Linked DNA regions of Lonchura striata. The protein of the gene in region 1 interacts with the protein of each later gene in a pairwise test. Links are inferred from orthologs where the notes say so. Each region holds a gene or a part of one and is shown in the gene's direction. Other genes may lie near its edges.

Region 1 (6,945 bases):
CCACAGGCACGCTTCTGAGCCAATCCCAAAATGCTGAGGGGGAGGGGTTAACCTTGGTGGGGTCCCACCACTTCCCCAGGAGCTGCTGCGGCTTCCTCCATCTCACCCCACGCAAGGTGAGCAAAACCAAGACAGCGGTGGAGGCTCCAGGCTCTGCCTCAGAGCAGGGCCAGTGCAGGCAGGGCTGTGGGCAGACAGGACATGTGTGTCCCAAAGAACCGCGTCATTGCTGGGGACCACTGACAGTGAGTTTTTGGTCACACGATGGAATTACTGTATTTCTGTTGGATGACTTCACTGCTGAAGTAACAGTTACATTTGAAGGGTTTGCGTCTTAAAAGACAAAAAAAATTAAGCAAAATTCAACTGTGGACAGCTGGAACACTTGTGATGAGTTTCCAGAACAAGCTGCAAATCTTCAGATGCAACAGTTCTGCCATTTTTATTACGTTCTCTCTTAAGGGATACTTTGAAAGAGGTTTTGGAATGGGGTTTGGTTTTTCCTTCTTTTATGGTAATACCAAATTTCACCTGGGAAAGGCCCCACTGCAGACCACCTCTGGACTAGGAGCTGGCTGCAGGAAGCTTCATCAGCTGCAAACCATCCCAGTGCTGGGGCTTTCCACAGGCACAGCCCAGCCAGTACAGCCACTGGCACAGCTAGGAAGATACCAGGCCACCAAAACGCAATGTCTGCAACAGTGGCTTGGCCAGCATGTAAACATCTGCACACCATCAACACCAAAAATTAAGCTGGTAAGAAGCCAGACTAGGCTCTAGCTGGGTTCTCCTGTGTTCTCCGGTGCAGGACCAGTATACACAGCCACAGCAGGCAGAGGTAGGCAGAGCTCAGCCCTGCACCAATGGGAAGACTGAGCCAGCAGCCCCAGCTGGTTTAGTGTCACACGCTGCTGAGACCGTTCAACCCAGTTCCTCTTTCCCAGCTGCATGTCCACGTCAGATGGGAGGACAGTTTCTTCCAGCTGAGGCTGAGCTTGCTCCTGGGGAGCATGAGTGGCTGTCAAGGCCAGACACTGCACCCCCATGACCACTCCGCTGTTAGCCATGGCTAGGACAGGCGCATCCTCTCACTCCTTCAGGGAGAGCAGCCCTGTTCTGCATGGGAAATGGGCAGGGGCCAAACAGCTGGGCTGGAGGATCGCAGCCGCAGCCTGCCTGCCTGCTCACATGCACTGAGCTGAAGCAGCTCCAGCTATTGTCTGCCAATGTTTCACACACATCTCACATCCTGTCTGCTCCTGCTGGGCATCGCTTGACCTCCAAAGGAATGGAGCACAAATCATGGCACCTCTAGACTGCCCATGATGAAGGCAGGCATGGTGGGACCCCAGCTGCAGCCTCTCCTGCATCCTTAGCAAGCTGGCCCTCTAGCACAGGACTCCAAGAGCAGGAGTTGAGTTGCAGTGGATGCTGTCATGACCTCTGGAAAGCACTAAGTGCCCTGATCCAAGCACCCATGCTTCCCACAACAAGCAACTTGCCCAGCACTGTGCTGCTGGACAGGCAGAAAGGTGAAAGAAAGAAGAGAGCATGGCTGCATTTTTGGGTCATTTGCTGGTCAGCAGCCAGCAAAGCTCAGTTCTGAAAAGAAGGGCACCCCACAGGCCTCTTTTCATTTTCCTCAGCCTTCCCACTCCCCCTTCCCTAAATCTAATAGGATATGTCACTTTGGGGAGCATCAAATTCCTGCCACTGCCATTCAGCAAGGAAACTGATGCTTGGGTGGTACTTCCCATGCACCATCACAGATTCACTCAGCACTTGGGCGGTTTCACCCTATGATCCAGGGAAAGGCAGGTGGTCTGGAGCTTTTATTAGGCAGCTCACAGGTTTTGCAAAACTAAAGATCCCAAAAATATGCGCCCTTCCCTTCTCAGCAGCAAGGCACAGAGAGAGAAGGGAGTAAACAATTATCGCTACCAAATATGGGTCTAACAGGCAGCGATGAAGACACGGCAAAAGCATGTAGACATCCTGCCGGCAGATTCAAAGGGATGGGGAGCTTGCAGGGGCTCGGGCAGGATCCGGCAGGGAACAGGCAGAAGATGGGGCAGCGTTTCTCCCTGCTTGGTTAGTTGTCTCAGCCGGGATATGGTGGGGACCCAAGCCTTCCCCGATTAGGGCCAGTCCCACCCTGCATGGGAACCACCCCAGCGCCCCATCCTGGGGCCTATAGCCAGCTGTGTGTCCTAGTGAGAACTGTTCGGGTGACGTCCCTGGCTTCGGTGTGGTCACGGGAAGCCCTGGTGTCCCCACCCAAAACCACGCAGCAGGACACGGACACCCTTGCCACGCGCTTTTCCCCACGTCCCCGGCAGGGTGGGCGGGATGCCCCGGGAAAAGCCGCGCCTGGCCTACGCGGACTGTTGGCCACGGCCAGGCTTGTCCAGCTCGGTCCCCAGAGACCCCCGAGGTGGGGATGCTGGCCCGGGCCTCGCCACGGTGGACTCCAGGCCAGAGCCTGCTGAAGCAGGGCAAGTACAAGGCCGGGATAACGTGGCCGGGGATAACGTGGCCGCGCCAGCCCATGTTACCCCGGAGCCTCCGGCGGGTGTCGGTGCTCCGGCGGCGCCGGTGCCAGGGGCGATCTGGGCATGCCCCAAAGTCTGAGCGAACCCCGGAAGCCCTCGGGTCACCGCAGCCCCACGGACAAACCCCGGTTGGAGCAGGGAAACCCCGGTAACCGGAAAGCTGCTTCCTCCCTACCTCCCCGCCACGTACCGGGGGGGTGCAGGGCAGGGTCCCCAGGACATCCGTTTCCGGCAGCCCCCCGAGACTCAGGGCCCTACCGGTCCGCAGGACCCCACTCCGCAGCCCCCAGCCCCCGGTTACCGGGACACCGAGTGTCCTCCGTCCCCGTACCTTTGCGCGGGCAGGAGCAGCGCGGCGGCCCCGCGTCGCTGAGGGGAGCTGAGCGGCCGGCACCGCCCGCTTCCCGCCCCCCCCACCCCGCCACGCGCATGCGCCAGAACGCGGCGCCGCGCTGCACGGTGCCTCGGCGCTGCGCTCCATCCGGACACCGCGCCACGGGCAATCCGCTCCCACGGACAGCGCTCTGTACCCGCACGACTCGGCCCGACGCCCCGGGGCTGGTCACGGTTCCGCGCCCGCGCAGCGTGGCCGTGCTCCACCTGCTGCTCACATCGCACTCCCGGGCGCCCGCCCGCCCCGGGACACCCCCGGGGCTCGGCATGACCCCGGACCCACCGCCCTCCCTTCAACCCGTCTCCCCCATTCCCTCCGCTCCCCTCTTTTCCCGCCCCGCCCCGCGCTCCCGCCGCCCGCGCGCGCTCCCGCCGGCCACGCGCCCCCCTCCTCCTAGCCAATAGGCGAGCGGTGCGTCAGCGCGGGAGGAGCCGGGGCGGCGCGCGCGGGGCCCGCCGGGACACTGGGTGGCGTCACCGCGGGGCGTTGGCAGCGGCGAGGCGGAGGTGAGGGGCGGCTGGGCGCGGGCTCGACCGGGGGTCGGGGCTCCGCTGCTCGGAGGTCCCGGCGGTCCGGGCAGCCGGGTCCGGCCCGCAGCCGGGGCTGAGACGGGCTGCTTGGTTCTCCTCGGGTGGATGTGCCCGCCCCTGCGCTCCGCTCGCCTTTCTGCCGCACCTGCTCCTCCTGTTCCCGTCCTGCCCGTGCTGCCTGCCCGGCGCACGCTCCCTGGGGGAAACCGTCTGTGGAAGCCATGGGCCCTGACATTGCCCGGATTTGCCCAGCTCCTCTTCCTCTTGTTGCTGAACTTTCTGCTGACAGCTCTCCCCTTAGTCAGCTGGCTCAGCAGTCCTGGCTGGGGACTGCGCTGGCCCTCTGGTTTTGGGAGGGGTTTCAGGTGGTTTTGGTGGTATTCTATTTTTTCTGGGTTTTTTTTTTTTTTTCAGACCGTGACACTTGACAGCTAGATGTGAAAGCTTAGCAGTGCTGATGGAGAGGTGCCATGGATGCCTGTGCTCTGACAGCCTGAGTGGTGCCTTGGCTCAGGCATCGCCCACAAGCCGGCCGGGCTGATCCCGCCGAGAGCCATGCGAGGCCGCATCTCCTCAGGGACCGAGGCTCCTGGGCCATGCCTTGTCAGGACATAACAGCAGCAGCCCGAGCTGGGACCAGGCCAAGCTAAAGCTGCCACAGCCACGCAGGTGCACAAGCCCCAGGGCAGTGTTTGGCTGCAGGTCCCTCACTGCCCTCCCCGTACCTGTGGCCGCCTCCAGCCGCTGAGCTCTGCTGCTCTCACGCCGCTGGGCCCTGACGTCCCTGGCAGCAGGGACAGCTCTCCAGGTCACTCCTCAGGGCAGAGAGATTCTTTACCAGTGTCTGATCTCTACAGTAAGGTAAGGAGCATTTTACTTTCAGCCTAAAGGTATACTGTGTGCTAGTGACCTTTATATATATCCATCTATTTATTTGTTTCATCCCCTTACTTATTACGAGTGTGTTAAACAGTACTGTGTTTGACAGCTGTCTGAATTGCTAAGTCATCATATAGGTCTGTCAAATCACTTATTAATTACCTTTCAATGATCACTTAATCACCATTTGATTGCCATTTAATTTTTGCTCAGTCATCGATTACTTAGAATTTGATCATGATTTAATCATTAACAGAATCCCTTTGGTTAAAACCTCAGCAAAGACTGTTCTTAATTTTCCTGGCACAGGAAGCTCTCGCTGCATACCAAGGGGTATGGCACCTTCAGGTTTCTGTGGAACAGCAGAATCTTGCCTGCTCTCCACACCATTAAGTCTGGGATTGTTTCATTTTTCCTGTCCTTTCTGCAGCTTTTATGCTCTGGGTGGAGCATGGCTCCTGTGGCTGGGTCCAAATAACCTTGTATTGTCACCATTGGTGCTATAATGGCAGAAGGAGATGTTACCTGGCTGGAGAAGTACTTGTGAACTGGCCATTCCTGCTGTTGACATTGCATGGGGATACTTCATAGGGTCTGAGGGACACCTTAAAGCAAGGCTGGTGTCTCCTGTTGTGTCTGTGCTCACTTTGGGTGTCCTGCTCAGATGTCATGCCCAGAGGAACTGGATGCCCTGGCAGATGTGGATCTGCTTGACTTTCTTCTGAAGGAGGATGCTCCCTGCCCTGAAATCCCAGGGGAGCAGAATGGTCTGCTGGAAGACTGGGGCCTGCCAATGCCTGAGGTGAGTTCTTTGTAAGGAATTGCTGCTGAGCTGAGGTTTAGGAGGTTTGTCTCCCTGCTGAGTAAAAGCTATTCCTCTGCAGCTCCTGGACAAGGAGATGGATGACTTCATCAGCTCACTGCTGAGCCCTTTAGAAGATGAACCAGACAGGCTCAGTTACTTGCCTGCCAACAATGACAGCAGCATTTCTGAGGATCAGCTTCTGTCCCATTGCCTCAATAGCAATTTTGCGAGCCGAGACATTGTGCACGTTGATCATAACTACTCCCTTCATCAAGAGTGGCCTACACTGGAAAGTGTGAGGTCTGACATGGCAGAAGGAGATGTTACCATTGAGCTAGGTGAGTGATGTTACGGACTCTTTGTGCCCTGGCTGCAGGCAGAAAAGAGAAAAGTAGTCCCATACTGGTTTGTTTTGGGGGTGTCAGGCAAAGATGGAGAGAGCCAAGATTAAAGGCTTTCTGCTGTTATAAAATTGCTATTTCATGCCACTCAAAGCTGGCTGGTCAGGTGCTGCCTCAGTGAGGCCCAGCATTTGACTCATCTTTCCTTCCCCAGGGGCATGGGTAGGTTTGGAAAGTACAAGTGAGGCACTGGAACAGAGCACCAGTTCCCCCGTTGCTGTTGCTGTGGAAGATGAACCCCAGCTTGTGCCTGGAGCCATTGTACAGGTACTGACTCCCATGCCTGTGGACCCCAGCCTTTGCTTCTCACATTTCTCCTTCTCTTCTGACTTGGCTCCTGTGAGGGGTATCTCTGAGGGAAAGCATGACATTACTTTGGAAGAGCTGATTCCAGTTCTGTGTGTTTGCTATGTGCCCTTGCTGGCGGATGGACTCCCTGTAGTATGCATTCTCAGTAGGCTTATTTTTGCTGTTTTCTAGTCTGACTTCCCAGAGCTGGTCCTGACAGAGGAGGAGAAGCAGCTCCTGGAGAAAGAAGGTGTTACATTACCAACCTGTCTGCCACTGACCAAAGTGAGTCCTCACTAGAACCATGCAGACCACTCTTAATGTATCAGGTATCGTAGGGGTTTGAAACTGCAGGACAGTGCCTTGATGAGAATATGTTGTCCAGATGCTGCATTCCAGGCAGTGTTCATCTGGGCTCAGTGTCCTTTTCCTTCTTTCGAGTCCAGGGCATTGTCCATGTGCACAGCAGCTTCTGGCTGCTGTCAGTCTCCAGACTTGTGGCTGTTTGCAGGAGGCAATTACACCACGAGTGCCTGCAGCTATTTTTTCCTGCTTGCCTAGTGGCTTGTGGTCTGTGTGCTTTTCATTTTCCTTAGGTACGCCTTACTTTTGCTGAGTCACGGAAGCTGCTGGCTGCACCAGCAAGGCCAGGGTTTGCCTTGCAGTTTATTCACTGGTGTACGAAGGACAGAGGACACAAGCACTAGGGCTGAGGATTGATATGTGAGCGCAGTCTGAGAGGGTGGGATTGCCAACACCCTGGGATTGCTGTTAATGAGGTGAACCTTGCAGGCTGAGGAGCGAGTTCTGAGGAAAGTGCGTCGTAAGATTCGGAACAAGCAGGCAGCTCAGGATAGTCGTCGCCGGAGGAAGATCTATGTGGATGGCCTAGAAAACAGGTATGGTCACACAGGAGTGTCACCAATACTGAGGGGACCCGTATGTTCTTTTAAGGGATCCTTGGCAGAATGATGATGGCCCTTAATTGTCATTTCAATCAGAACTTCATTTTCCTATCATGTTATGATTAATATAGCAGAGGATTTGTGATTACAGTGGCACAGTTTTTCTACAAGCAGAATCAATGTAGTACACT
Region 2 (7,730 bases), on another chromosome or scaffold:
GAAGCATCAACTGGAGAATGTACTGATGGATCTGTCTGTTTGGGGCTGTGCCTGCCAGGCACTCCCAGCACAGGGATGCTGCTGTGCAGTGTGTGCACACCTGGATCATGCAGCCTGTGCCTCTCCAGGGCTGGCTTCAGCCTGAGCTTTGAATTTGGGCAAATGTGTGCTCAGGGATGAGCCAGCTGGAGCTATCCCCACCTGTACCAGCACTGATCCCTTCTCCCACGCTTGCCTGCTGAGTGGTGCCGTGTGCCATGCCCGTTCCCAACCCCTGTGCTAGCTCAGGCAGTGGGATCCTGCTTTGGAATAAACAGATGATGTATCTTAAACAAAACATTAAAATTATTTTTTTTAAGTGCTGTTCTGATAGCATGTGGTGTTGCTCTCTCTGTGTGGGGCCCCAGCAGCTCTCCCTGCACCCCAAAGCAGAGGGCTCGGTAGTAGCAGAGCCGCACCAGAGCTAAGCCGCTGCTGGGTCCTGGCTGGGACAATGTGCTGACACCTGGGAGCAGGCTGGGAAGTGCCCGCGGTTGAGGCTCCTCTTGGGAAAGCACAGCCGGGCGGTGTCTGAGCTGCCGGTAAAGCCGGGGACGCTGCACGCTGCGGGCCGGGCGGCCCCGGGCGGCGTCCGGGCAGCGTCCGGCCCCTGGCAGCGTCCGGCCCCGGGGAGCGCCCGGGCCCGGGGAGCGCCCGGGCCCGGGGAGCGCCCGGCCCCGTCCGGCCCCGGGCAGCGCCCGGCCCCGTCCGGCCCCGGGCGCCGCGGGTCCCGCCGGCGCCGCCGCCGCCCCGGGCAGCGCTCCTCGCCGGGAGCTGCACGGAGAGGGCTCCCGCCTCCCTCCGTGACAGCCATTCAGCCTGCAAGTATTTTCATTTCCATGCTTGAGTGCTCCTGTAGCTTGGAAGGGAAAGGAGATTTGTTATTTAAAGGTGACGGACCGACAAATCGTGGTATTTAGTGTGTTATTACAGTCCATTACGGTCCATCTCTGTAGTATGTGAGTGCCCCTGAGGCGGAGCACGGCCGGCACTTCAGAGGAAAAGCCCTTGCCGTGGCTGTTTGTGTAGCCCTGCACAGATAGGTGGAATTTCTTCCCGGATGCTGCCAGCTTGTCTCTCACCCTGCAGCGTGTCTGGTGGCTCCTTTGGGAGCAGCCCCACTGCGTGCGGAAGTGACTATTGCAAGGAAACACGAGCGGCTTATTCCCGCCCGAAGCGAGACACCTTGTTGCCTTTGCTGTGCAGGGCAGCGATAAATGGTCAGAAATGGAGCGTGGTGGTGCCCCACAGCAGCCCTTCCTCTGTGCTGCCCACCCCCGACTGCCTGTGCTCGCACCCACCTGCTCTCTGTAATATCTTGGTACCAAGTGCAACAAGTTCCCCAGTGAGGCCAAACCTCACTCTGAATTTCAGCTTTAGAGAAGGGAGAGGAGGCAGGGACTGCTCAGGCAGTGAGCATGGGCCAGACCTGCTCTGAGGATGCTGCTGTGATCAAACCAGGTGAATTGGATAGAGCCTTCAGCTGATGCAGTGCTCAGGAGAGTGGTCAGTCATGCTGCAGGGCAGGGGATGACCCATCCATGGTTTCTGCTGGGGCAGGAGCAAGGGGGCATTGGATTAAACCAGCTGCTCTGCACCAGGCAGGAGCGCTCTTTGGCACCGCAGGAGAGGTGTCAAACCACTTCCCTCAGGGCATCCCCGGTGCCACGGGTTTGCCAGGGCTCCAGGAGTGACTGGACGCTGCCAAGGAGAGGAGCTCCATCTCAGGCCACCTCTGTCCAGAGAGCCCAGCCAGCAGTGCTCTGCAGAAATGCCCACGCACCCCACGCCTGCTTTGGCATCCTTCCCAGGCCGGTGCAGGGGAGGATGCCAAGGGTGGAAGACCTTAGGTCTGACCCTGAACAGCTGCTTGCCAAAACTTGCTTCAACTGCCTGCCAAGTGCATCCTAGGAGCTGTTACCTGTGTATCCATTAGCTTTCTCAAGGACAGGGCTGGAAGAGGGAGAGGGCACCCACGACAACCCACGCTGTGCCCTAAATGCCACTGTCAACATTTTAAATCCTATTTGTTTTCCTACTGAGGGTGTAACAAGTATGGTGTGCCTTCCCTATCCCCACTGAGGCTTTCCATGTACACAGAAAGAAGTTTAATCCCTGATGATCAAGTTTGGCAGAGAAACAAACAGTGTTTAGCAAAGAGGGAAAACCTTTCCCATGGATGCAATACCAAGCAGAGTCTGTATTGGCCTCCTCCTCCTTGATGGCCACAGCTCCATTATCCCAGCATCAGCCCCTCCAGCACTGCAGGGCCTAATCCTGCCTCAAGCCCAGCAGCACATTCCTGCTGTCTCCTGTGTGCCAGCCCCAGCGTCTGTCCGTCCGTCTGGTGGGGAAACCAGTTTAGGAACTGATGACCAGAAGCCACTTGGCTGCTCTCATTCCAGCCAGGCTGATCAGCAAACCAACTACACTTCCTGATCCTGCTTGTCCTGGAGCTGGCATGGTGCAGGGACAGGGACAGGGAGGAGAACTCCAGCAAGGACAGGCATTGGCATTCAAACTGCTGCCAGTTTGATCCTGTTACACTGGTATCTGCTGTACAGTTTGCTCCCAGTACTGTCCCTCTCCCAGTGCCACTTGTGCTCAGTGCATTCCTGCTCTGCAGGTGACAGGGTCCCACTGCTGCTCCAGTCTCACTGCAGAGCTGGGGATTGGCTCACCCACTGCAGGGACACCCTTGTGCCTTGCATGGGGGGACAGAGCCCCACCACAGCACCCAGGAGGTAACATGGGCAGATGAAATGTCAGCTCATAAGAGCCTGGTTCATATCCCTGAGCCCTGCTGTGGCACATTTGAGGACCACAGCTCTCTGTGTGCTTGGGAGAGGATGGCAGCAGGGACCCACAGGTCACCCGGCGGCTTTGTGGGCTGGCAAAGGCTGGACCCACCTCTGCCATGAGTGGTGATTACAGAGGGTGGCCCTTGGCAGCCTGTGGCCCCAAACCCAAGGTAGGGCTGGGCTGCACAAGCAAGAGCAGCCAGTGGGGACTGGGTGATGGGATCACAGCCATCTCCATCTCCTCCAACACCCCACAGAGGGATAGTGGCCACTGCACCTGAGCATGCTTGGAGTCTGGGGTCTCTGATTTGGAATTGGGTGCAGTGGCCTCCAGCTGAGAGGCCCAGCTCATTCAGATCTGCCCCCCCCACCTTGCCCTCATGCTCATTAAAAAATCCTCAATGTCCATCCAGAAGCCATCCTAATGCCCCAGAGAGCTGTGCTGGATTGAGCTTACCTGTCACAACTAGGACCACCTTGGCCACTGAGGGTATTGGGGAGCCCCCTTTGGAGAGTGTCCCACTCCAGCACCTCATTTGAGGTCTCCCAGCAATCTCTCAGGACTACTCTGGCCCTCTCAACCCCCAGAAAATGTTTTTGTCCTCCACCCCAAGGAACTCCCAATGCACCCCAGGTGCCCTGCAGCAGCCCTAGCCAGGAGCATGCCCACCCTTAACCCTTCTGCTCCTATCAGGGTGCAAAACCAATCTGCCCACCCAAAAAATGACTTTTCCCCCAAGCAGGTGACAGGGTCATGCCAGGAGCTGGTGGGAAGGTGGAGCCAATGCCGACTGCCACAGCAGGTTTTGCATCCACCTTGATTAAAGGCCTCAGTGAATGCCTGGCCTGCGCCCCACAGCACCCCAAAGCCGGGGGGCCTAGGTGGTGTGATGACCCACCCCTACAGGTGGGGCTGGGGGGGCTCCCCATTCCTGGGATGGCAAACCCCACCTTAATCACTGGTTGCAGCCCAGTGTGGCCGGCAACGCCAAATTTGCTGGCACGTGGCCAGCCCCTGTGGTTAAGGGTGTCACCCCAAAGCAGCCCCCCTCACTTCAGAGGGAAATCTTCCCAAAAAAATGCATGGGAAACTCCTTTCTTGTCATTCTTTATTAATTATTTGCTTGTGATTCTTTGGAGTATTTGGGGCTGCCTCCTGCCCCCTGACTAATTGCAAATTTATTTAAATACTGAAATATATCTTCAAACAGCTGGGAAGGGGGTGTGGTGCCTGGCAGCAAGTGACCCTGGGATGAGTTGACCTCTGGGTGACCCCAGGAAGGACCCTGCTCCTCTGGGGCACTCTGAGCCACGATTGGGGCGTCCCCTGCCTTGGCCACCAAGAACCTTGGAAGGGGATTGGTAACTTGGGAAGGGTGATTCCCCCAGGGGTGCCCTATACCCCCCAGCTACCACCCCAGGATGCCCTCACAGCCTCATCCCTGCTCCAGGGATGCCCATACTCCAGTTCCACCCCGGGGTACCCCGGTGCCCCCCATAATCCATCCAAGGTTGCCCAGACCCCCCATTCCCCCACCCTGACCATACCCATGGCCCCTGGGGGGCCCTGTCCCCTCCCCTGGGCACGCCCCATGTCCCCCTTCACCCTCTGGGCGCGCTGTGCCCCCTTCGCCCCGCTCTGCCTCTCCAGGGATGCCTCATTCCCACTTTCCAGGGTACCTGCGGTGGGGCGGAGCCTCCGCACCCCAGCCACGCCCACCCGCCCATGGCTGCCCAATGGGCCGCGGCGGGGCGCGGCCCGGGGCGGGGCCTGGCTGCATATGCATGTATGCAGATGAGCAGGTGCGGGCAGAGCGCGGCGGCGGGACGGACGGGACGGGACGGGACGGGACGGGACGGGACGGGACGGGACGCGGAGCGGCGGCGGGGCCATGGCCACGGCGGGGCCGCGGTCCTTCAGCGCCGCCGAGGTGCGGGCGCGCTGCGCTCGGGGCGCCTGCCTGGTCTCCTGCCACCGCCGCCTGTACGACCTGAGCGGCTTCGTGCGGCTGCACCCGGGCGGGGAGCAGCTGCTGCGCCGCCGCGCCGGCACCGACGTGAGCGCGGCGCTGGACGGGCCGCCCCACCGGCACTCGGAGAACGCCCGCCGCTGGCTGGAGCAGTACTACGTGGGGGACATCGAGCCCGGCGACGAGCAGGTACCGCCGCGGGCCCAGCCGGGACCGGGGGCTATAGGGGAGCCCGGGGGCATATACGGGGTTGCGGAGTGCCTCAGGTGCCTGCTCCAGGGTGAACAAGGGCTATGGGGGGCCCCACGTCTCGGAACTGGCAGATACAGAGGCTGTAGGGTGCCCCAGGGTGTGCAGGGTCTGTACGGAGTGTCCTGATCCCGGGACGTTCAGAGTGTCTCTAAGGTACCCCAGGTCCCAGGGCCGGCATGTACAGTGGTTCTATAGGGCACCCCACGTCCTGGGACTGGGATGTACCGAAATTATAGGGTGCCCCAGGTCCTGGATCGAGTTTTGATGGGGTACCCCAGGTCTGTGCTCTCTGGGATCTGAGTAGTGCAGGGTTTATAGAGCATCTCAAGTCCAGAGTGCATGGAGTCTAAGATGTGCAGGGTCTGTAGGGCACCCTGGATCCAAACTGTGCAGAGTCTGAGCCATACAGGGTCTGTAGGGCACTCCAGGTCCAGGCTTATCAGAGTCCAACTTGCAGAGACTGGATTGGCTTTGGGGTGTACATGTCAGGGAGTGCATGTACCATGTAAGGTGTTTACTGCACCCAAATCTCAGTCTGAGCTGTATGGGACATGGTGTGTGTTGGGTCTGAGGAGGACAGGACCCATAGAATCAGGCTCTGTAGGGTCTGGGATCTACAGGGTGTGAAGGGTGAAGAGGACAGAGGATATCTGGGTCTCCTGGGATCTTGCATGGGTGGTGCCTGAGGTGTGCAGGGTTCCAAGATCCCATGTGCCTCCTGGCTCCCAGGAGTTCTCTGGGGTCTGAGGTGCAGGGGACCCTGAGGCCCACAGGGCGCCAAGTGCACAGAGCTGGGTACTTACAGGGTCCCACTCCACAGCCACATCCCGCCCTGGCCATGCTAGGAAGCAGGGCTGATGGGTGGATCTGTCGTGCCAGTGTGGCATGGAGATGTTGGGGTCTTTGGAGCAATGCAGGAGATGGAGCTCAGTGTCAGTTTTAGCAGGACTGTATGGCACAGAGTGGGCACTGGGGTTTGCCAGTGGTGAGCAGCCACTGCTGAGGAGAGGAGCCCAGCCATCTCCTTGACTGCCTGATGTCATGGGACACACACAGCTCTGTCCCCACTGTGCCAGTCCCGTGCTGTCCAGGCAGAAGAGAGAGCTCCCTGGGGAAGTTCCGCAGCCTCCGGGTAGCACCGGGCACTCCTACCCAGCCACCAGCCCTCACAGCACACCATGGGCAGGATGCTGAGCAGAGGGGCCAGCCCGGCCCCCTTCACCAGCCCAGCAGTTCCTCTCTAGACATCCCAGCGGGGTCAGTGACCGGCCGGTCCCTCGGGCTGGTTGTTTGCTCTCGCTGGGTGTCCTCCCCAGGGCGCAGCCTCGGCCCCAGCGCCACAGACAGGGCTTTGTTTCAGCCTGGGTGCAGTGCCTGCGTTTTCCCCGGACGGATGCCGGCGGTGGCACCTCCTCTGTTGGGACACTCGCTGAGCCGCCTCCTCGCAGGTGTGACGAGCCCAACGGGTTGGGGCGAAGGAAGGTACCGGACAAACGGGTTCTCCTGCCGAGGGGAGCTGCCACCATCCCAATGCAAATACATGGCGTGATAACGCCAGGGCGCAGGGAGATCAGACACTGCTGCTGCCAGATAAACCATCCCAGCCTGAACCACACAGGGCAGGGATTAGAACTGCCTGCTGGACAGTGAGGCCATGTCCAGCATGCACTGATGTGTGAACTGCTCTGCCCTACTCCCCACCCCCCAGAAATCTTCTATGAGGAGAGGTGATGTCCTTGGTAGTGCTTGGGTTCATGCTTTGGGTGCTTTGGGGCAGGTGTAGCCCAAACAGGTCTTTGGAGGAAGTGTTATATTCCACAGCTTTGCCAGGGCCTCTCCTTGCCCGCTGGATTCCATCATCCCCATGCTGAGGGATTCAGAATGCTCTGGTCCCACAAGCATCCAGCATCCTCCTCTGCTTCCTTCAGAAATTTCCAGGATTTTTGGAAAGGGGGAAAAATGTGTTAATGCAGGAGAGATAAAGAAGATCCAGCCTTCATTCCACTGGTGTCTCCATGCCCCTTCCTGTGGCTCTCTCCTTTGGCCACAGGTCCCTTTTCTGTATCACCCAAATCTTTTTGACTAAGGACAAATTAATCTCTAAACATTTTATCTATGCAAGCAGGACATATAGGGGTGATCAAAGCGAGTACCAGTAATTACCTAAACTAGACAGTGGATTTTAACAGCCTCGCTAGAAGGGAACTGGATCATCTAATTACCCTTCCAGTTTGAGCAATGAGGGACTTTCATCACAGCCTCTTTGGGGTGCATGATGTTGGTGTGAGTCACAATCCTCCATCTTTCTCAGGTTTAGTGTCCTTCTCTTTCTCTTGCCTGTATTGCTGCACGTCAGGCTCTCCCTGGCTTTGCATCCCAGCCTGAGCACTCTTGGATGTAGGCGGGACACCTGGGGCACCTCTTTGGGGGTGATGTAACAAGAAGTCACTTTTTGTATTACTACTACGATTAGGAGATAAGTTCACCTCCTTTTAATAGTCCTGCTGCACCCAGGGTTTAATGGGCTAAGACACAGCTTTGTGGGGCTCTGCCAGCCAGAGAACACAAACCACAGTGCTGCTGGGATGGTGCTGCTGGGATGGTGCCTCCACAAGCAAGCACCTTGCTTGGGCTCTCTGCACCTCCTGGGGTGTCCTCATGCTACATG
Region 3 (5,534 bases), on another chromosome or scaffold:
AACACCTGAACAGGATCTCCAGTCCTGAGCAGCACTGAGTCACTGGGGTCACTGTCCCTGAACCATCCACAGCCTTTGCCCCGTGCTAGGTGAGCACAGCTGAGGATGCTGCAATGCCCACAGGTACAGGGCTGTGTGACACAGCCATGCCCTGCTCTGAACAGGTCTGGGACTGAGCCAGGGGTCATGGCCACATTCTGGGGGCCATGGGACACCCTGGAGAAGCAGGTAGCCCAGGTCCTGGCACAGGAGGATTATGAGCAGAGATCAGCACATTCCTAGAGAGCTGGAGCAGCCCCAAGGTGGGAGCAGCACACAGCCCTGCCATCAGCCCCAGGACAGAGCTGCAGGGCATCCCAGGGCCCCCCTGCCAACCCTCCTCTGGGCTCTTACCCCAGGTCATGCTGGTCATCTCCCAAGGCCACTGGCAGCAGCGGGCTGCCCCCGAGCTGAAGCAGCCGTTTGTGCAGCTTCTTTGCGATGAAATTAAACCTGAGCAGAGAATAACACAGGGCAGGGCTGCTGCAGCAGTGCAGCAGGCACTGCCACAGCACCAGCACATGCTGCTAGGGCCACCAGAGCAGCACACAGGCAGAGCCAGCACTGTGACCTGGCCCATGCCCTGCCCGGTCTATGCCAGTTCACAGACCCAGCTAAGTGCCAATTGCTGGCCCTCACAGGCTCTGCCCATCCCCAAGATGGGACAAGGGGAGGTCCAGCTTCTTTTCAGGGCAGCTTGTGCCCTAGGCCATAGAACATTTCCTTCCCTCCAGCCCCCCACTGCCCCACAGAGCCCAGGCACACCCATCCTCCCCACTAGAACTCTTTGAGGCACACAGAACAACCTTCTGGGAGAGACCTGGGACCAACGTGGCTGGCTGCCACCTCTGTTTGATGTCCCCTGTTGCCTTGGCCCATAGCTGTGATAAAAGACTGACACATTATGTCTGACCCTTTGCAGCAAAGAATCCTTGGTGAGGTTGGGAGGAAAGAAAAGGGCAGATGCCTAATTCCTGGGGGTGAGGAGGGACACAGTAGGGCAAGGATTTTTAAGGCTGGTGGGAGTTACATTTTGTCTGGGCTGCTGCTCCAGAATCAGACTCTGTCTCCCCTTACCCCCTTGGCTCTCCAGCCACTCTGCTCTCTAGTGCAGTCAGAGCTGTGAGGAGCAGCTGCCCAGGGGCTGCAGAGCTGCTTACTTGGGGTAGGAGGAGTCCCCGAGGCCCAGCACAGCGTAGTCCAGCTGGCACAGGGAGCTGGCAGGGAGGTTCTTCCGGAACAGGAACCGCCAGAACATCTAGGACAGACACAGCTGGCCAGTCCTGCTGCTGTCAGGCACCCTCCTGCCTGCCTGGCCCTGCATCCCTGCTCACCCACCCACCCGCTGGGGCCTCCTGCATCCTAGCAGAGTGGGGAGCATGGCTTTCAGCAGAAGTGCCCCTGCTCCTGCTCCCTGGGATGTGAGTGATGCTGCTGCAAAGCTGCCCCAGCAAGAACAACCCCTGCTCGAGCTGCTTCAGGAGAGACAGCTCTGCAGCAGGAACATAAAAGCAACAGGACAGAAGCACATCTTACCTTCATGTTGTCAGGTGGGTCTCCCTGGCCGGTGGTTGCACACACAAACACCACCAAGGGCTCGTGGATGAGGTTGGCCTGTGGGTACAAACATGGCACAGTCAGGTCAGCAGCCTCCAAAGTGCTCTGGAGCCAGGCTGGGACAGCTCGGGGTGTTCAGCCTGGGGAAAAGAAGGCTCCAGGGAGAGCTCAGAGCCCTTCCAGGGCCTGAAGGGGCTCCAGGAGAGCTGGAGAGGGACTGGGGACAAGGGGGAATGTCCATAAACTGAAGGGGGTCAGGTTTAAGTCAGAAATTCTTCCCAGTGAGAGTGACCAGGTTCTGGCACAGGTTGCCCAGAGAAACTGTGGGTGCCCCTGGATGCCTGGAAGTGTCCAAGCCCAGGCAGGGGAAGGCTTGGAGCAACCAGCACCAAGCCTATCTGAGTTCAACAGTGTTTGGACAACACTCTCAGGGACAGGGTGGGATTGTTGGGGTGTCCTGGGCAGGCCAGGAGCTGACTCAATGATCCTGATGGGTTCCTTCCAACTCAGCTTGTTCCACGATTCCGTAGTGCTGTGGGAGGTGTTGGTGCCCATGGGGCTGGAGCAGGGCAGTGCCCGGAGCAGTGAGTGTCCCACTCACCACGTCACAGCTGTCCAGGGCCTGCACCCGGCAGCGCAGGTGCCGGCGCTGGGCTTCTCTCCCAACCCTCTCGGCCGTGTCCTGAGCTGTCCCAGTCTGGCTGCCAAAAAGCACCAGGAGTCCCCGTTCTGCCATCTGCAGGAGACAAGAGCAGGAGGTCAGCAGAGGGTGTCAGAATCTGAGGTATTGATGATTCTGAGATTGTAGAAAGTCTCTGTCTGTCAGCCCCACTGCCAAAGCAGAAGCCATAATTGGTCTGTGCTGGTTTCCAGGTTGTTTATTCTGTTTATCTCTCACATGTTCTGCTGCCCTGCCCAGCTCTGTCCTGCAGGGCAGCGTGTGGGGCTCTGCCCTCAGTGGGATGTGACAAACATTCAATACCAGAAACTCCCTGGGCTGGATTTACAATAACGTGCCAATATCTGTCACCTACATTGGACAGTGTGTCCCCAGCCTGAACCAACAGAAAAATGCCAACACCACAGTGAAACATGGAGGGCATGAAGAAGGAGAAAAAGGACAAGACACACCCAATTTCCTCCGTCTTGCCTCCTTTGGACCCCTAATCTAGAATCCTAAAATTTTACTTTTGCACCCGTGCCACACTTAATTATTGCTTATATCAAACACTCAGGGGTTATAATTCATCCTGTAAGATTGAAAACTCTTTTCCATGGACAGAGATCACAGACAGTGTCTCTGGGGGCTGTGTCCAGGGGGTTCCTGACCCCTGCCAGGGTCCCAGGCCTGCCAGGACAGCCAGAGGGAAGCTCTGGATTCCTACAGAGGGCAGGAGAGGAAGGGAGTCAGGGCTGCAGCTGCCCGGGCCCAGCAGCACTGATCCCGGGGCTGACACAGCATGCAGCCAGCACAGGGGTGGCCAAGAGTGGGCCACAGGGGTGGCATTCAGCTGTGGGGCCAAGGCTCCCAGGCTCTCTTCCCACCCCTGTGCAGCACTGAGGGTGTGATCCCATGTCCCAGCCCATACAATAAGCAGGGACGCTACTGTGCTCCTCGTCCCCACTGCCAGGCCAGGGAGGGACTAAAATCCACATCCCGCCCCGCTGAACTGCCCTCGCCAGCACAGGCTGAGCACAGCTCTGGGACTGCCTGTTCCCCAGTCCTGGTGTAACCTTCCCGTGTGCCCTGGGAATCCTCCCTCCCCTGAGGGGGCTGGGGCAGAGCCTGGAGGCTCAGCACAGACAAAGAGAGCACACGGAGCTCTCGGCCAGACTGACAGAGCAAGGGCCCAGCCCGGAGGGAATGCAGCTCTGTCTGAGCTGCAAACGGCTGCCACCACCATGTGCCCACAGAATAGTATTAAATTAAATCTTAATAATAAAAAATAAAATCGCAGAATCACTGACTGGTTTGGGTTAGAAAGGACCTCGAAGCCCAGCTCATTCCACCCCTGCCATGGCAGGGACACCTCCCACTGTCCCAGGCTGCTCCCAGCCCTGTCCAGCCTGGCCTTGGGCACTGCCAGGGATCCAGGGGCAGCCACAGCTGCTCTGGGCACCTGTGCCAGGGCCTCACACCCTCCCAGGGAACAATTCCCAATTCCCAATCTCCCATCCATCCCTGCCCTCTGGCAGTGGGAGCCATTCCCTGTGTCCTGTCCCTCCATCCCCTGTCCCCAGTCCCTCTCCAGCTCTCCTGGAGCCCCCTCAGGCTCCCGGGAACCCTCCCCTGCCGGAGAGCAGCCCCGGCCCGGCCCGGCCCGGCCGCGCTGCGGGACTCACCGCGGACCGGCTCCATGCCGCCTCTGACGTCACCGCCGCGCGACAGCTCCCGCTGACGTCATCGGCGAGGCTGAGGCGCTGGGAGCCCCCGCTCACTGTGTCCCCGCCTGATGACATCATCCGTCCGTCGCCTCTCACCGTGACGCCATCGCCCCGCGCCGGCGGGCCGGGCCGGGCCTGGTGCCGGTGCCGGGCCGGGCCGGGCCGGGCCGGGCCGGGCTGGGTCAGGTCAGTGACTTGTGCCGGTGCCTGTGCCGGTGTGGGGCTGGTGCCGGGCTGGGGACTTGTGCCCGTGCCGCTGTCGGTGCCGGTGTGGGGCCGGTGCCCGACTAGGGACTTGTGCCGGTGCCGGTGCCGTGCCCGTGCCGGTGCCCGTGCCGCTGCCGTGCCTGTCCCCGTGCCGGTGCCGGTGCCGGGCCGGTGCCGTAGCCCCGGACGATGCTGTTCTCCCTGCGCGAGCTCGTGCAGTGGCTCGGTTTCGCCACGTTCGAGCTGTTCCTGCACGGGCTGGCCCTGCTCGCCTTCTCCGTGCTGCTCGTGCTCAAGGTGGACGGCGCGGCCGCCGCGCTCTCCTGGTGGATCGTGTTCGTGCCCTTCTTCGCCGCCGACGGGCTCAGCACCTACTTCACCACCATCGTGTCCGTGCGGCTGTTCCAGGACGGCGAGAAGCGCCTGGCGGTGCTGCGGCTCTTCTGGATCCTCACCATCCTCAGCCTCAAGTTCGTGTTCGAGATGCTGCTGTGCCAGAAGCTGGTGGAGCACACGCGGGAGCTGTGGTACGGGCTCATCATGTCGCCCGTCTTCATCCTGCTCCAGCTGCTCATGATCCGGGCCTGCCGCGTGAACTGAGCCCCGGCCCGGGGGCCGGGCCCGGGGCCGCTGCGGTCGCTGTCGCCGTGCGGAGGGGCAGGTGACGGGCGGGGACAGGGGCAGTGCCCCAGCTCGCCGCTGTGGTGCAGAGCATCACGTTTCTCCAAAAGCTGCACATCCCTGTTTGTGCCCCCTCAGCTCCTTGTCCTGTCCTGCGAGAGCGGCTGGGCATGACAGTTATTTTATTTTAGAATAAAAATGCATTGAAGGATTAGGTTTATTTCTGAGATTCTTTTTGCCTATAAAACAGTTGTACCTCAGACTGCTGCCTGGAGGGCGGGTGGTTGCTGTAGATCCCCTGGTACAGCCCAGACCCCTGCCCTGCCCTGCAGCTGGCTCATGGATTTCCATCTGTCCCCTCACTTCCCCGAGCACTTCATACCTTCAGTGCTCTGCTGGGGGTTTGTGAGGTCAGGTTGAGATCACTGATTTGTGTATTTTTGAACAGGAATATGATTTTTCTTTGTGTTTCACTCCATTTCCTACATTCAGAAATGGGGGTGTGGGGAGGCAGGAGCGTGCAGGGGTCTGGGCTGTACCAGGGGATCTACAGTAACCAGCCCCCAGCCCCCCCAGAGAACAGGAGGAATTCAGTATTCCCTGTGGAAGTGCAGACCAGTGTGTGAAGTGCCAGTGTCACCGGGATGCCAGGGTGGGGTTGTCTCTGCAGGGCCAGGAGCTGCACTGATGATCCCTCTGGGTCCCTCCAGCTCAGGAGGTTCTGT
Region 4 (7,527 bases), on another chromosome or scaffold:
TGCCTGCTCTGCTCCAAACAAGGCAGACAAAGTCAGGCTTCCTACAACATTCCCAGCTCTGCTACTGCCCTCCAAGACCAGATACCCCTTAGACTAAGTGAGCAGATAACAGCAATGTAAGAGGCAGGAAAACATGGCAGCCACAAGCTCCTGGCAGCCACGACAACTTTCCTCTGGTTTTTGTTTTGTCTCTCCCAATGGCTGCAAGAGGGGCTCCTCCCTGCACCACTGCTGTGGGAAGAGACCTGGCCAGCAGCAGAAACCCCCAGGCCACATCTAAGACTTGGACAGGAGTTAAAAGGGAATGTCAGGACTCAGGCACTGGAGCCTGCCTCCATGGCTCCATCATGAGCCTGTAAACATTCCCTCCCCCACACCACTGCCAGCTGGAGAGCCCAGTGCTGGGCTCAGCCACAGCTCTAGGGAAAGCACCTGCAGCCCCATGGAAGAGTCCTGGGACTAACTGTTTTGTGAGTCCTCCCTGGCCTTCCCCTCCCATTGCTTCTCACACAGCAGCAGTGTGATCCCCAGTAAAGCTCAGCCCCCAAAGGCCCCTACTCCTTGTTGGGCAGGACCTGCAGCCTCACCCCCACACCATACCTCTCATTGGTGAACTTTGCCTGGTGCAGCTCTTCACTGGCACACTCGGTACCAAGGCCCTGGAAAGCAAAATTGGGAAGTTGTGTTCTCCTCTGGACCAGGCACAGCCTATCAAAAGTAAGGGGAATGCAGGGATCTGCAAGGGGAAGGACCAGAGCAGGAACAAACTGGTCTTCCAAAAATCGTGGCAAAAAAAGGCAGATGTCAGAAGAACAGCTTTAAAGAGGGAAGGGTTAGATTGGATATGGGAAGAAATTCTTGCCTATCAGGGTGGTGAGGCTCTAGCTCAGGCTGTCCTGAGCAGCTGGGGCTGCCCCATCCCTTGAAGTGCCCAAGGCTAGGTTGGACAGGGCTTGGAGCAACCTGGGATAGTGGAAGATATCCCTGCCATGGCAGGGGTGGAACAGGATGAGCTGTAAGGTCCCCTCCAACCCAGTCTGTGATTATATGAGAGCAGGGCTTGGTGACTGGCAGAAAATGCATAAATGAAGTCACATCTGCACTCACAGAGCTGTTTGGCTCCCACACTGCCCACAGCTCCTCCACATCATCCAGGACAGCAGCTCTGCTGCCTCATGGAGACCCTCACCTTTGGTAATGTGCCAGATGTCCCAACAAAGAGACAGAGGAAGAACCTGAAAGAACAAGAATAAGGAGCATAAATGTGGGATTCAGCCTGTGAGTCTCAGTCCCCAGGCAAGACTGAGATGGTTTATAACAGAGTCATATCTAAACTTTAACCTCTGTCCAGAACTGTATAACGGGAGAGAGAACAGCTCAGGGAAAAAAAAAAAAAAAAAAAAAAAAAAAAAAAGGAAAAAAAAAATAAAGACTGGTAAACCCACCCTTTACCCCAAACACACACAGAGATCCAGGACTCACTTCTTGGCTTTGGCACTGTTGGGGTAATCCACCACCATTCCCCCTGTAAATCCAGCTCTCATGGCTTGGGCTGTGATGAGCTCCAGCTGGGAAAAGCAGCAGGTGCAAAGTTAATTACCAGTCATCCCCCAGGAAAGCCCAAGAGACCTCTGGGAGCACCACACCTAACTGGGCATTCCCAAGAGGGACTGCTCCTCCTCCTGCTAAGCTCTGCACCCATCTCTGGTTCTGCAGTCCCATCAAGAGACCAATTCCCTGCCTTTGTTGCTTCTCCCTCCTCCTCAGTCCAGCCTAGGTTAGCTGGCACAGCAGACTCTCTAGGAGAGGGACACTGGGCTGGATTTTCCAAACCTGAGTTAAGCCACTCTTCAAACCCACACTCACATTGTATCCCACCACTTTAAGGCTCAGCCAAGACAAATCTCTGAAACAACAGAACCTCTACAAGGTTTCCTCCTTACAAGTTATTTTCCTGGGCTCCTGAAGGGCTTTAGAAGTGGTAGGCAAGACAGAGACACTGCCTTGATGTGGAAGAACACGATGCATTCAGATCCCCAGAAGATTTCTCTGCCTGTACCCCCTCCCAGCTCACTGATGGGCTGTACCTGCTCGGAGTTCTCGGGGTACAGCTGCAGCACAGCTCGGGATCCTCGGGCCTGCAGGAAACAGCTGATCACACCTGTCCCAGTGCAGGTCACCCCCTCTGGCTCCCCATGCCAGCCCCAGACATGAGCTCCCTCCTCCCCAAAACCTCCAGGACAAGGCTCCCAGGAGAGGTGCCCAGCCCACAGAGCCAGTGAGGCACTGGGGAACACCAGGTATCCCAGAATCATGGACTGTTACGTTGGGAAAAGACCACCAAGACCATCAAGTCCAACCTTGATGAAAAGAGCACCAGGCAGTGGCTGCTCCTGCCAGTCCTGCTTCAGAGCAGCAATTACTGAAAACAACCTGACTTGAAGTACCTTGCTAAAAAGCAAAGACATAAGAGCAGCAGAGACTTGGCAGGCAGAGGGTGGCACTTACCAGGGCAGTGTAAAGAGTGGAGAAGAATTTGTAGAGGCGTTTGGGGGGGCTGTGTGACTTCTTGTCAGCATTACAGAGCCACTGCACCGCAGAAATACTGAAAGGAAAATAAGACCCTCATGACAGCACCACTGGTTCCTTCACAGAGCTTGCCACCTCCCTTTGAGCTGAATTCCTGCACTAGGCATGTGCTGGGCCTCAGGGAAATTAAATAATTTCCTCTGTGTTGCTTTGCCTTCTGTTTCACAGCTACACAAACCCCTCTGGAGGCTCACTATGCCAAAACTTAACAAGGTGCATAACTTAAAGGACAAAAGCACCACCAAGCATCCCCTTTAGTCCAAGTGCTCAAATCCTAAAATGACAGATGCTTTGAGTTGAAAGAGACCTTTTATCTCAGCTTGTTCCAGCCCCTGCTGTGGGCAGGAACACCTCCCACAAGACCAGGTTGCTCTAAGCCCTGTCCAACCTGGCCTTGGACAATTCCAGAGATGGGGCAGGCACAGCTGCTCTGGGCAACCTGTGCCAAGGCCTCAGCACCCTCACAGGGAAGAATTTCTTTTGTGTATCTCACCTGAATTTTCCCCCTTTCAGCTTGAACCCCTTACTCCTGGGTCCAATCATTACAGTTCCTGAGGGATGCTGGAGAGCTCAGCTGTGTCCCTTGCCTGGCCAAGCAGGTTTTCCCAAGGAGCAATCTAAAACAGAGCTTTTGGCTCAGCAATGGACAGCCCTTGCTTCTTCCCAGCTGTTCTCTAAGCAGGTAAGTTTCCCTGTCCCCTTCATCCCAAAGCCAAGCATCAAACCTTGATCCAAAAACTGACTTTTCTACGCTGACAATACCCCCAGTTTTACTTTCTTTCCTTCAACAAAACTCCCAGCTCACCAGCACAAAAAGAATAAGCATCACTTGGGAAGCAGCTGTCACAAGCTACTTCTAACATGCAGAATTTTGGAGGTTTGTCCTGGAGTGATGGAGCCAAGCTGCACAGAGCAAAGAGAGTGGCTGACAAGGCCAGTGCCTCTCACCTGTGACTGACCAGGTGTGCATCGGGGTGCTCTGGGGATGCCAGGAGAGCTCAGCTGTACAGACTCACCTGATACAGCCATCAAACATGCCAGGCCTGAAGGGAATGCCATGACCCACATCTGCCAGGAGAAGGTCTCCTTCCACCTCCCTCTCCACGGCCACATCTGCACAGAAAACAGCCCAGGCAATCAGCTGCCACCCTTGGGGCCTCTGAGGGTCTCCTCAGGGGAGGTTGTGCTCACCCAGCATGGCAGGGCTGATGTCCATGCCGATCCAGTAGTGACCCTCCTCGGAGATGTAATCCCCACTCAGCCCTGAGCCGCAGCTGGAGGGAGGAAGGGGAAACGCTGGGCTCACGGGGCTGCTCTGAGGCTGTGCTGGCCACACAACCCCAGCGTCCCAGCAGCCCACAGAAGACCCTGCTGCTGTGGCATCGGGCCACCCAGCCCCAGACGTGCCACGGAGGCGGCAGAGCCCCGCTCACCCCACGTCCAGGAGGAGGCACGGGCGGTCCTCGGGCAGCCCCAGCAGCTCCACGGCACGCTCCGACATCTGGGACTGGATCTCCACCACGCGGGAGCTGAGGCACGGCACAGCGTGGGCGAGGGGCGACAACCCCCGCACCGCCTCCCGGGGGTACCCCCGGGAGGCGGTGCGGGGCTTGTCGCCCCTCGCCCCCCGGCAGCATCCCCACCGCTCCCGGCGGGATCCAGCACCACCCCCAGCCCCGGTGGGTCCCGTCCGTGCCCGCCCCACGACCGGCAGCTGCTCCCGCCGTACTTCTGCGTGTACTTGCGCGCCTCGGCCTCATCGTAGAACTGCAACGAGAGAGCGCGGCCGCCGTGAGGCCCGGCCCCCGGCGGGGCCCGGTTCCACCGGCGGAGCCCGGTTCCCCAACAGGAGCCCAGTTTCCCCTAGCGGAGCCCGCTTCCCCCGGCGGAGCCGCTCCCGTCCGCCGCCACTCACCAGCTCGGGCGGCCCGCGGTGCTCGGGCCGGCGGCCGCTGCCCGCCATGCTGCGCGCGCGTGCCGGCCCGGTGCGTGCACACGTCACTTCCCCGCGCCGTGCCGCCCCGGTGCGTGCACACGTCACTTCCCCGCGCCGTGCCGCCCCGGTGCGTGTACACGTCACTTCCCCGCGCCGTGCCGGCCCGGTCGGTGCACACGTCACTTCCCCGCGCCGCGGCACGGCCCCGGGCGGGCGCTCAGGCCGCCATGGGGCCGGCGGCGCTCGCGCGGCTGCGGCGCCTCCTCCCCGCGGCCCCGCGGCCCGGCCGCGCCCCGCCGCCGTCCCGGGCCGCGCAGACGGGCGCCGCCGGACCCCCGCGGCCTCGCCGCGACCTCTACGAGGTGCTGGGGGTCCCGCCCACGGCGACGGCGGCGCAGATCAAAACGGCGTACTACGAGAAGTCGTTCCGCTACCACCCCGACCGCAACGCCGGCAGCGCGGCCGCGGCCGAGCGCTTCGCGGCCGTCAGCGAGGCTTACCGGGTGCTGGGCAGCGCCGCGCTGCGCCGCAGGTACGACCGCGGGCTGCTGAGCGCCGCGGAGCTGCGCGACGCGCCCCGGCCCTCGGGCCGCGCCGCCGCCGCCGCCCCGCCGCCGCCCCGCGCCGCCGCCGCCCGCCCCGGGCCCGTCCCCACGCCCTTCGACTTCGACGCCTTCTACCGCGCACACTACGGGGAGCAGCTGCAGCGGGAGCAGCTGCTGCGGGCGCGCCGGGAGCAGCTGCGCCTGCGGCGGGAGGAGACCGCGGCACAGGGACGCCTGCGGGTCTTGTCCGATCTCTCCATCGGGATGCTTTTCTTCCTGGGGATCGCTCTCCTCTACGGCCTCAAGTGACGGCGGGGCCGTGGCGGGGCTGGGCAGCCCCCGCGGTGTCACCGGGAGCCTGGCGGCGGGCTGGGGCCGTGCCCTGCAGCGCCCTGTGCCTGCTCTCCAGCCTGTGACATTGCACTCTGCCAGCGTGACCTTCAGGGACAGGAATCCATCAGCAGGTTCCACAGGCTGTGAGCTGGCCCCTGCCAGCGTGACCTTCAGACACACGGTGCCCCTGGATGCCCTCTGTGGGCACAGCCTGGGCCAGGCCGTGCTGTGCCACTCAGCGTGACCTCGCAGAGGTGCTGCAGGAGCTCTGGATGTGCCCCCTCAGCCAGTGCCACCTGCACAGTGCCTGACAAGTCAGCACAGTTGCTGCACTCTGGACTGGCATGTGTCCCCTCCTTTGGCACAGCTGTGTGACCTTGGTGTGCCTGCAGAGATTAAAGGCTGTCAGAGGTGCTGTGTGCTCTGTGTGTTCAGGGTTGCATTCACTGGTGGCTCTGCTGATGCCAGAGCTGTGCTGTCACACCTGCTGTCACAGCATCTCTGGGAAGCTCCTGATGTCCCACTGCATCAGCCTGCTCGGAATGGCAGGGACAGGAGTCCTAGATCCAGACTTGAGGAATGAAACCCGAGCCCACACTGGCTCATGCCCTGGTCAGTGTGTGACATTGCCTGGAGGTGTGGGAAGGCACTTTGGTGAAGTCCTCTGTCCTGTCTAGGGCCTGCCAGGAATTTCAGACATCCCCTCCCTCTGAGGTTTTTGGCTGTGGTGCACCTGTGAGCACCAAGTGCTATTCTCTGTATTTTACACCTGTCTGAGCATCATTTGCACAAGAGTTTTTGCCTATTTAAATAATGGAGTGTTTTAAAAACTAAAGATTGTATTTCTCAGAACCTTTTCTCTGTCCTTGGGTGAAGGTTCACCTGTGCTATGTTGCTGCTACCTGAGCTGAGGGAGAGAAGCTTCATGGCAGTGGCCTGAGCGTGCCAAAGACTGTGTGGGACACTGGGTTTGTTGTCAGTGGGCTGAGCAGGAGCCCAACCCTTGTTCCCTCACCACGCAGACCCTGGGTTGTGCTTTGTCCCAGCACAAGAATGTTACAAGTGAGTGCCCTGTGTTTTCCACTGTGGATTTCTGTGATGCTCAGAGCTGAGGCAGTGGCACAGCAGAGACCACCGTGCCTGCTGGCTGTGCAGGATTGCTCTCTGCCTGCTCCCAACAGCCTTGTGCCACCTCCAGCTGCACGCTAGAGGCTGGACTAAGAGCCCAGGGGCAGATTGAGCTTTCCAGGATCCTCACTGGGTGCCAGCCTGTCCCTTCAGCTGGGATCACAGCACTGGATGTCATCGTGGGAGACATAGGAGCCTGGTGTGCCCTGGCTGCAGAGGGAAGCTCCCTGGAGTTGTGGCTCTGGCACCTGCTGATGCATTGTCTTGCTCATCTTCATTCTGTAAAGCAAATCACTGCAAAGATCAGAAGTAGCTTTTTGGGCAGAGTTTGGCAGGAAATATTAATTTCCAGGATGGAAAAGCCAGCCATGTCCTCTAGCTCCCACCCAAACAGGGGGTTTGGCAGTTCCTGCTGCTGGTTCTTCCTCTTCCTCCTCAGGTCTCTGTGATGTATCTTGAAGATTAAAGACATCCAGCCATAAACTGGTGACAAAATGACACATCTTTCTTTTGGTGGGCCTGGGTGGTAAATATTCCTTGCACTTTCTGGAAAACATGGCTGAGGACAGGCAGGTGTTTCACATCCTGACTTCAGCCAGTGAAGAAGAGGGCAGGGAGGGGAGTTCTCTTTGCTTTGCTGGGAAGGGGTGGGCATGCAGCCTGCAGGCAGCAGGGCAGGGTGGCCTCTGGAGCACCATGGCCATCCCTGCTGCTGCTGGAGGTCCTGTTCTGTGCTGCCTGACACCCAGGGGTGGCTGTGCCCTGGTGACAACATCCCCTGTGCTCTGCACTCACCTGCTGCCTGGACAGAGGAGGGTGCCCTAAAATCTCCAGTGTCACCTTTGCTCTGGTCAGGCCTGAGTGCTCCTCTGCTCTGAGAAGGACTTCAGGAGCTTGGGCAGCAAGTGGCTGGAGCTGGGCCAAGTGCACAGACTGCCTACCAGCTCCCAGCCTAGCACTGTCCTGCTGTCCTGCCCCTTCTTCTCCTTGTGTCAG

The links.
Region 2: the proteins of CREB3 (region 1) and FA2H interact in a two-hybrid assay, tested with the Homo sapiens proteins (2 studies listed by BioGRID and IntAct). The two-hybrid records come from large-scale screens. The link is inferred for Lonchura striata from reciprocal best matches to the Homo sapiens genes CREB3 and FA2H.
Region 3: the proteins of CREB3 (region 1) and TMEM203 interact in a two-hybrid assay, tested with the Homo sapiens proteins (2 studies listed by BioGRID and IntAct). The two-hybrid records come from large-scale screens. The link is inferred for Lonchura striata from reciprocal best matches to the Homo sapiens genes CREB3 and TMEM203.
Region 4: the proteins of CREB3 (region 1) and DNAJC30 interact in a two-hybrid assay, tested with the Homo sapiens proteins (2 studies listed by BioGRID and IntAct). The two-hybrid records come from large-scale screens. The link is inferred for Lonchura striata from reciprocal best matches to the Homo sapiens genes CREB3 and DNAJC30.

Annotation. Positions count from the first base shown.
Region 1 is NC_134642.1:39,589,189-39,596,133, forward strand, and holds the start of CREB3 (cyclic AMP-responsive element-binding protein 3), read left to right. Parts: upstream 1-3,926; 5' UTR 3,927-4,337; intron 4,338-5,019; coding exon 5,020-5,157; intron 5,158-5,239; coding exon 5,240-5,498; intron 5,499-5,715; coding exon 5,716-5,828; intron 5,829-6,041; coding exon 6,042-6,134; intron 6,135-6,641; coding exon 6,642-6,748; intron 6,749-6,945. UniProt on the Homo sapiens protein: Endoplasmic reticulum (ER)-bound sequence-specific transcription factor that directly binds DNA and activates transcription. Plays a role in the unfolded protein response (UPR), promoting cell survival versus ER stress-induced apoptotic cell death.
Region 2 is NC_134615.1:15,869,269-15,876,998, forward strand, and holds the start of FA2H (fatty acid 2-hydroxylase), read left to right. Parts: upstream 1-4,713; 5' UTR 4,714-4,732; coding exon 4,733-4,999; intron 5,000-7,730. UniProt on the Homo sapiens protein: Catalyzes the hydroxylation of free fatty acids at the C-2 position to produce 2-hydroxy fatty acids, which are building blocks of sphingolipids and glycosphingolipids common in neural tissue and epidermis.
Region 3 is NC_134624.1:5,297,587-5,303,120, forward strand, and holds TMEM203 (transmembrane protein 203), read left to right. Parts: upstream 1-4,143; 5' UTR 4,144-4,377; coding exon 4,378-4,788; 3' UTR 4,789-5,020; downstream 5,021-5,534. Other genes in the region: NDOR1 (NADPH-dependent diflavin oxidoreductase 1), read right to left, coding at 394-492, 1,200-1,297, 1,576-1,653, 2,198-2,332. UniProt on the Homo sapiens protein: Involved in the regulation of cellular calcium homeotasis. Required for spermatogenesis. Acts as a regulator of STING-mediated inflammatory signaling in macrophages.
Region 4 is NC_134622.1:3,876,823-3,884,349, forward strand, and holds DNAJC30 (dnaJ homolog subfamily C member 30, mitochondrial), read left to right. Parts: upstream 1-4,752; coding exon 4,753-5,379; 3' UTR 5,380-7,014; downstream 7,015-7,527. Other genes in the region: BUD23 (18S rRNA (guanine-N(7))-methyltransferase), read right to left, coding at 601-659, 1,190-1,235, 1,483-1,568, 2,088-2,138, 2,509-2,605, 3,606-3,702, 3,781-3,863, 4,023-4,118 and 2 more. UniProt on the Homo sapiens protein: Mitochondrial protein enriched in neurons that acts as a regulator of mitochondrial respiration. Associates with the ATP synthase complex and facilitates ATP synthesis.